Linked DNA regions of Mus musculus. The protein of the gene in region 1 interacts with the protein of each later gene in a biochemical or structural test. Links are inferred from orthologs where the notes say so. Each region holds a gene or a part of one and is shown on either strand. Other genes may lie near its edges.

What was found. The genes of interacting proteins can lie anywhere in the genome.
Region 2: the proteins of Plin3 (region 1) and M6pr form a complex in vitro, tested with the Homo sapiens proteins (2 studies listed by BioGRID). The link is inferred for Mus musculus from reciprocal best matches to the Homo sapiens genes PLIN3 and M6PR.

What each region holds. Positions count from the first base shown.
Region 1 is NC_000083.6:56,280,431-56,284,025, reverse strand, and holds part of Plin3 (perilipin-3), read left to right. Parts: intron 1-2,419; coding exon 2,420-2,619; intron 2,620-3,158; coding exon 3,159-3,284; intron 3,285-3,595. UniProt on the Homo sapiens protein: Structural component of lipid droplets, which is required for the formation and maintenance of lipid storage droplets. Required for the transport of mannose 6-phosphate receptors (MPR) from endosomes to the trans-Golgi network.
Region 2 is NC_000072.6:122,307,228-122,311,581, reverse strand, and holds the start of M6pr (cation-dependent mannose-6-phosphate receptor precursor), read right to left. Parts: upstream 2,863-4,354; 5' UTR 2,416-2,862; intron 1-2,415. UniProt on the Homo sapiens protein: Transport of phosphorylated lysosomal enzymes from the Golgi complex and the cell surface to lysosomes.

The DNA of each region.
Region 1 (3,595 bases):
TGCCCACAGCCTTCCAAGTCCTTTGGTGGAATCTTTCCATCCACCTCATAGGTCCTAGAGATCAAACTCAGTCAGGCTTTGCAATGAGTACCTTTAACCGCCTAGCCACCTCTCAAGTGGTATGCCAACTTCTTTTTTTTTTTTTTTAAAGATTTATTTATTTATTATATGTAAGTACACTGTAGCTGTCCTCAGATACTCCAGAAGAGGACATCAGATTTCGTTACAGATGGTTGTGAGCCACCATGTGGTTGCTGGGATTTGAACTCAGGACCTTCGGAAGAGCAGTCGGTGCTCTTAACCACTGAGCCATCTCACCAGCCCGGTATGCCAACTTCTATAGAGGTCTCGATTCCTCATGGTTGGCCGTGAGCATGCAGCGCTACAGCTTCAGTGTGGCAAAACACCCACTCCTGCAGTGACTCTCTGCAGGGACAGAGCTGGCTGCTGCACCTCTGCAGCTCCCCCACAGATGGCAGGAGACGCTACCAGCCTGGGAGAGGGTGGGGTGTACAGTGAGAAAGTGGGAAGGTGCTCCAAAAGCGGGGCGGGGGACATGCATAAAGAGGAACCAAGGCTCTGTGGGGGTGGCTCTCATCTGAGCAGCCTTGGTTTTAACCACTGCCCTCCTAGAGGCATCCCTGGCTGTCCTATAGGACCCAGGTGGCTTCTCGATAGAGAATAGCAGAGCCATGTGGGACCTAGCTTTGAAACCCAAGCAAGGTGGCCTGTGCCTATCATCCCAGGAAGGAAGGGGCGAGGCGAGAAGATGAGAAGTTCTAGGCCAACCTAGGCTACATAGGAAGACCTTGTCTCACAACACAATCAAGCTTCAGGCTGGGGCTATGGTTCAGTGGATAAAGTGGTCACTTAGCACACACCAGGTCCTGGGTTCTGTCCCTAGCACAGCAGCCATGTGTGGTGTGTACCAGTCACCTGGCACTCAGGAGGTGGATGCAGGGGGAGCGGAAGTTGGAGGCTAGCCCCCCCTCCTTCCCATTTCAGTTCAGGCCAATTGAGCTGCCTGCCTGTTCCTCTCGGTGTCCTGCCAACTCTCTGTCCATGGATTGCTGTCTTTGCTTTGGCTTGGAGCACAAAGCCCCTTTCACTTTCCCAGATGCGGTCCCAGCTTCCAGGAGAACGGCCACACACCAGCTGGCCCAAAAATGTACCATAGAGAAGTGAGAAGGGGATGGATTTTTTTCTTTTCCTTCAAAATACAGAATTTTACCAGGCATGATGGCACACACCTTTAATCCCAGTATCAGGAGACAGAGGCAGGCGGATGTCTATGAGTTTGAATCCAACCTGTGTTACATAGTGAGACCCTGTCTCAAAAACCAAACCAAACAAAAAGTCCTAGGATTTGATTTTTTTTTTTTTGTCTCTGAACGTCTCAGCGGCCTCTCAACTGATGGTGGTGCAGAGGCCACAGCTCCACAGCTGTGTTTCTGTGTCCCAGCCAGTCTGACCCCTGCTTTTTTTTTTTGTTTTTTTGGTTTTTCAAGACAGGGTTTCTCTGTATATCCCTGGCTGTGACCTGGAACTCACTCTGTAGACCAGGCTGGCCTCGAACTCAGAAATTTGCCTGCCTCTGAGACCCCTGCTTTTTGAAACAGCACATCAGTGACTTAGGAGGACTCTGATGTGGCTAGGCTATCTGGTGGCTCTAGGAGTTTATCCTCCAGTCTCCACCACCTGCTTTTCAATATATATACATACATATATATGTGTGTGTGTGTGTGTGTGTGTGTGTGTATAAAGACCAAATATATATACATATATGTATATATATGTGTGTGTGTGTGTGTGTGTGTATGTGTGTGTGCATATATATATATATATATATAGTCTTTTTCAAGACCGGGTTTCTCTGTAGCCCTGGCTGACCTGGAACTCACTTTGTAGCCCAGGCTGGCCTCAAACTCAGAAATCCACCTGCCTCTGCCTCCCAAGTGCTGGGGTTAAAGGCGTGAGCCACCACTGCCCAGCTGCTTTTCAATATTTTAAAATCTATTTCATTTTAATGATATGAGGTATGTATGCTTGTGCTAGGTACACACAGAGCAGCCAGAACACAACTTTTGGTAGTTGGTTCTCTCCTACCATGGGATCCACGGGTTGAACTTGGGTCATGAAGCTTGGCAGCAAGTACCTTGGTCTGCTCAGCCATTTTGCGGGCCCATCTTTGTTTTCTAGTTCTGTAGACCCGAGAATGAACCAGCTTCCAGATAGCCGCTCTACTACTGAGCCATACCATCAGCCCTCTTTTTTGCATTTTTTTCCGTGACAGGGTCTCCAGTAGCTTAGGTTGCCAGAGACTTGCAATCCTCCTGCCTTGCCTCAACTTCCTAACTGCCTGGCGCGTGGCGTTGTGTGGCGTGGGTAATGTGAGCAATCTCTCCCTCTGTCCCTGCAGCTCTGATTGCCACACCCCCGGAGGACTCGGACATGGCCTCACTGCAGCAGCAGCGACAGGAGCAGAACTACTTTGTCCGGTTGGGCTCTCTCTCTGAGAGGCTGCGCAATCACGCCTATGAACACTCCCTCGGCAAGCTGCAGAATGCCAGGCAGAAGGCACAGGAGACGCTGCAGCAGCTAACAAGTGTGCTCGGCCTGGTGAGCCTCCCCGTGTGGGTGTGGCCGTGGCTGGGGCCTCCTTCTTGCAGCTCAGCTCTTAAGTGAGCTGAGATCTCACCCAGTGGCAGGTGGGCTGGGCTGGTTCCCCTGGGCTGGCTTCCTCTACACCTTAGTGTATCAGTCAGCTCAGGCTGTGTAACAAAGTTCCTGAGTATGTAAGGCCTTTTTCTCTACCCGGCTGGATAGGGGTGCTGGTCGCTGCTGGGTCACTAGGCCAGTGAGAGCAGCTAAGACACATGCATAGTATTCCACCTTATTCATGTGAAGTCGATGTGGTGGGCAGTGGAGCAGGGTCTAACCTCAGCACTGCCCAAGGAGAAAAATAAAAGTGTGTGTCTCCTTGGTGTATGCCTCTCATTCAGGCAGAGACCAGCCTGGTCTACATAGTGAATTCCAGGCTAGCCAGAAAAGAAAAAACAATGAAAATGAAGAGCCCCCCATCCCTGCATTGTCCCGGCTGGAACCCAGTGTCTGGGATATGTTCTCCCTCTAATAGGGCCCCTTTCTCTGTGCTGTAGATGGAATCCGTGAAACAGGGTGTGGACCAGAGGCTGGGGGAGGGGCAGGAGAAGCTGCACCAGATGTGGCTCAGCTGGAACCAGAAGACCCCACAGGATGCTGAAAAGGACCCAGCTAAGCCAGAGGTACCTGCTGGGGCCCCCGGGATCCCCATATGAGTGTCCATGCCCTGTTCAGCATAACTCATGCTTCCTGTCCCCAGGGCAACCACAGAAACCATGACAGAATTCTATTTTGTTTTGGCTTTGGTTTTTAATTTTTGCATTTTTATTAGTATTACTGGGGTAAGGTGGTGGTTTTGGCTTGGCTTTTTTTTTTTTTTTTTTTTTTTGGTTTTTCGAGACAGGGTTTCTCTGTATATCCCTGGCTGTCCTAGAACTCACTTTGTAGACCAGGCTGGCCTCGAACTCAGAAATCCGCCTGCCTCTGCCTCGCG
Region 2 (4,354 bases), on another chromosome or scaffold:
CACCCAATCACAGAAGAAAACTCACTGGGTCAAAAGGAGTGACCAGAAGTCTTCCTAAATCTACCTCGCCCCTTCAAGTCACAAATCTTAAGGCCAGCTAAACTTTCAGTAAGATGGCTGTCTTTTTACACTCTAAAGTTCTGAGTTCACTTTCTGTTTGTATTATTCTAACAGGCCCATCCAAACTATGGCCCATTGGACACATATATCCCCTGATACCTGTGAATGCAGCCCAACATATTCGTGGATGACAATGTTCTATTTCAATGTTGAAAAGCTGGCTACCTTCATAGTTAGGCCATAGTGACTGATGCTTGCACAAGGCTTCTACTAGTATCTATTAGTAACCCTTCAGGCCATTGACATTGTTTATTTTATAATGGTTTTACTCTTTTTTTGACAGTTAACTCTTCCAGACATTCTCCACAAGAGAGTGAAAGCTCTAACCCTGTGCTCTAAATTCATTTCCCTTTCTCCCTGAAAGGTACATCTGAGTTTCCATTTCCCATATGCAGGGAGGGTAACACACTTACCCATACTCCCCCGCCCCCCACATCAACTCACCAATACAAACATTTACAAGGCATTTATTTCCACCCAGTAATCACACGTAGCCAAGAGGTCAAAGGCACTCCTAACTCATCTCAGATAGGACATTACAGAACATGTGCAGCAGAGGGACAGCCTTCAGCCAGGCACTCTCTGAAATGCTACCAGACATTAACTAGTCAATCCTCTCCAAACCATGTATTAAACTTAACGGTCTCTGTTTCACAAGTAAAAATTACAGGACAAACAGAACAAATGCCACTGACACAGCTAATGGAGTAAGATGGATGGCTCCAGAGTCATCTATCCAGAAGGGAGCCAACCCAGAGCTGCCTTTCTCCTTTTTAAAACAGACCAGGAAGTTGGAAGTTAACTGTAACAAGGAGCCCAGGTTTAAGCTCTCCCCTCCCCTGAGCTCAGCTATTGCTCAACCGGTCACCTCACCTAGAGCTCCTCTGTTAACCTACTCGGTGCCATTTTCTGCAAGTTCTCTCAGGATTTAATTTAAAAAAAGTAACATTCTGGGCTCTGAGGCGCTTGCTCCCCAGGACATATCCTGGAGGGATGCTCTCACAGAATGAATGCTGTGCACTCTGGCCTCCAAGTTATTTCCTCATTTGTTAACTGTTGCTGCTTTCTCTTCCCAAATTAGGGCAAAGAATTTCACAAAATTGGGACAGGATGAAAAAATTAAAACAAGCCACGGTAGGCACTGGATGAGTGGAACTGTTTGTCATTTGCTTAAACGTTCAAAAAGTTAGTAGAAGAATAACTTTACACTTCTCCCAGCTTAAGATTTGAGTCTAATTTTGAGCTGCTTCTCCTTGATTCAGTGTGGTGTATGTTTGAAATGCTATGCCTGCATTGTGTTAGTTACACAGCCTAGAAAAGATGAGGGGTCTGACGCTTAGAGTTGCTCACTGAGTTACTTGTCCTAGGCTACACAAATATTAAATCAACCTGGATGACTTAATGCCATGAAGGCATTTGTGGTCAAACTTCTGATAAATACAGGCCCAAATAGAGAGCAGGATAAAACTGAAAGCTGGGCAGTTCCTATTTAGCATGGTCCAAAGAGATCCCCAGAGTGCAAGCACTTATAACTCTCAGACGCTGTAAAACAGGATCTTAGGCTCTTGAGAATTCCCCTTTCTTATTCTATAGAGACAGATCTAGTGGCAATGCTGAAACATTCTCTATAGGACGCCGAGTGACTAAGTTAGGGGTTGGGAAACTGCTGACCTCATTCAGCCCTGCACGCATTTTTCCACTCATGGCCGTTTTCCATTTTCTAATGGAGGGCTTTATTTTCTTCCTCCTGGTTCATTGCAGCCAACACGTTTAAGATCAGTCTCAACTGGCAGAAAGGCCCAATGTTTAAAGTGCCCCAAGGAGGTAGTTCTGTGCTTCAAAGTCTCCACAGAAACACAAGACACTCTTGTCACTCTTTTCCACACCATGCTAACAGACCTTCCTCGAACTTCTTCCAGGAGTCTGGAAATTCTCGCCTTCTATCTACTCAAAGTCATACCTTACCCCCAAATGACGCCATGACGCCACTTTACTCCCACGATACAGGTCAAAATTCTCTCTACAAGAATCCAGTTAACACTTCACACATGAGCACTTTCCTTTTCCAACCTTCAAAACATCTCAAATCCCTCTCTGATCTTGGAACTCCTCTTCCTCACTCCTAGAAGTCTGGCGTTCTCCGTTCTCATGCCTTTTGCCTCAAGTCCTCCCTAGGGCTCCCTAGCAGGATCTCCAGCCAGAACCACGGCCAAGCGAGAGTCCTGGTCCGCACCTCCTTCAGTACAGAGGTGTGCGAGGACCCCAGCCCGCTTCCTCCACGCCCCCAACACTCACGTGTCACGGGAAAACAGAGCAACCGCGGCTCAGAAGCCCCCAAGAATGTGTCTCTGAGGTTGGAAGACGCGTCCGGAGATCAGGGGTGCGGGGGCGCAGACCCCAGTCCCTCGATTCCTCTCTGAAGCCAGCGCTTCCCTAGGCGCCTCAATGCGCCCCGCTCCAGAAGCCGGAAACAGGAAGCAGCGAGAGCCTGCTGAGCAACTGCTCCTCCCACTAGACTCCGCGGCGTGTGACCGCAGAACCTTGGTTCCCTGGTCTCTCTTTTGGACGCTGATTGGTCAGCAGCCTAGTTCGCTGTTCCCCGGTCCCATCAACTCCAATCACTCGGAGATTGTCAAGATCAGTTTCTTCTTTTCGGGTCGCCTTTCTACCAATGAGGTTCGAGCTCCGCCTCCAGGGACTCTGGGCGGGCGCTCCTCATCCACGCGGGGTCATGCGCCAGGTGTCCCAATAGGTCTGAAGACAGTACGTGAGGGCGATCTGTGGAACTACAAAGAGTGTCGCTCCTTGGGCTTGCTGGGAGTTGTAGTTCCCTCGCCCGAAGCTCTCTGGGAGTTGTAGTTTCTAGGACTCTTCTGCTACCTTGGTGGCCTCTGTGAGGCGCTGTTTAGCCATCAGTCGGCTGGGCTCGCTTCTGGTTTGCAGTTGACTCTGCTACCCAGACAGTGGAATGTTATAGGTCCTGCCTGTCTTGATTTTCTTTGTTCAGAATTTTCTAATTCTTTCGGGACATAACTATTGTTACTGTTACCTGGGCAATGAATTTTCCTATTGTGGCATCTTGCTAGATAAGCATACTGTCAAAGGCATATATCAAAGGCGCCTGCCCTATGTGTGCCGGCCCTCTAGCCTGTACTTCAGTTTGGGGGGACCCGTGTCTTTGTGCCTTTGGTAAGGTCATTTGAAGACTCCTTGGATTTATTATCCACTTCTCAAGCCCTAGTTGTTCTTAGAGCTTGGTTTGAAACAATTGCGGCTTCCTGGATTCGCTCTCCAGGTTACTCATTTCTTCCTCTGAAGTTTCTTTTGGCTTTAGCTGCTCATGCCCCTTTTACTCTCACGTGCTTTTGCATGCACCTCCCTCACTCTGCTTAGATAGGGATTCATGTCAGAGGTAGAACTGTGCTTAAACTGCTAACACCGTAGTGTCCTATACTTTTTAAAAAAGTTAACTTAAAAGTTTTAATACATTTTAATTAAAGTATAATTACTTCCCCTTCTTCTGACTTTTTCCTTCTTCCATTTCTTTCGAAGGCCCCTTCACCCAGCTCTCCCCATGTCCCCCACTCAGACTGATGGTCTCATCTTCTTTAATTGTTATAGTTACAAATATTTGCATAGATACACTACAACCTGCTGAATCTGTTTATGTTTGTATGTACATGATTTCAAGGATGATCACTTTGTATGGCATAGCCTCACTTCTCTGTTAGCATATTGATATCGCCATTGTTTAGATCTTGTTTTTGCCACCATTTCTATGAGACTGTTTCACACCAGACATCCTGGTATTGCAGCTCTTACGGTTTTTCCAGCCCCCCTCTTTTTTTATGTGTCCTGAGTCATAGATGCAGGAGCTGTGATGTAGAGGTAGCCACTGTGGCTAGGCCCCTCACCACCTGCTGATCTCTGCACCGTGTCCTGTCATGGTTTTCTGTGATGGTCTGTAGTGAGAATTTTGGAATTTTGGCTTCTTTAACACAGAAAACAATTTTAAGAACATATTTCCATTTTGATCCCAGGTGTGGGATTTGGGGCTGCTTCAGATTGTCCACAACAGCTGGCTATGATATTTGCCTTGTGCTCTGACAGGGGACGTGGTTTTTGCTAGTCCCTGCTAGAGCACAAGGCAAATATGTTTGATAGTTTCTGTGGTGGTATTTGGAATTCTGAGAACTTTTCAGAGGGTATGTGCAGAGAGGCAGGGGTGGTTGTT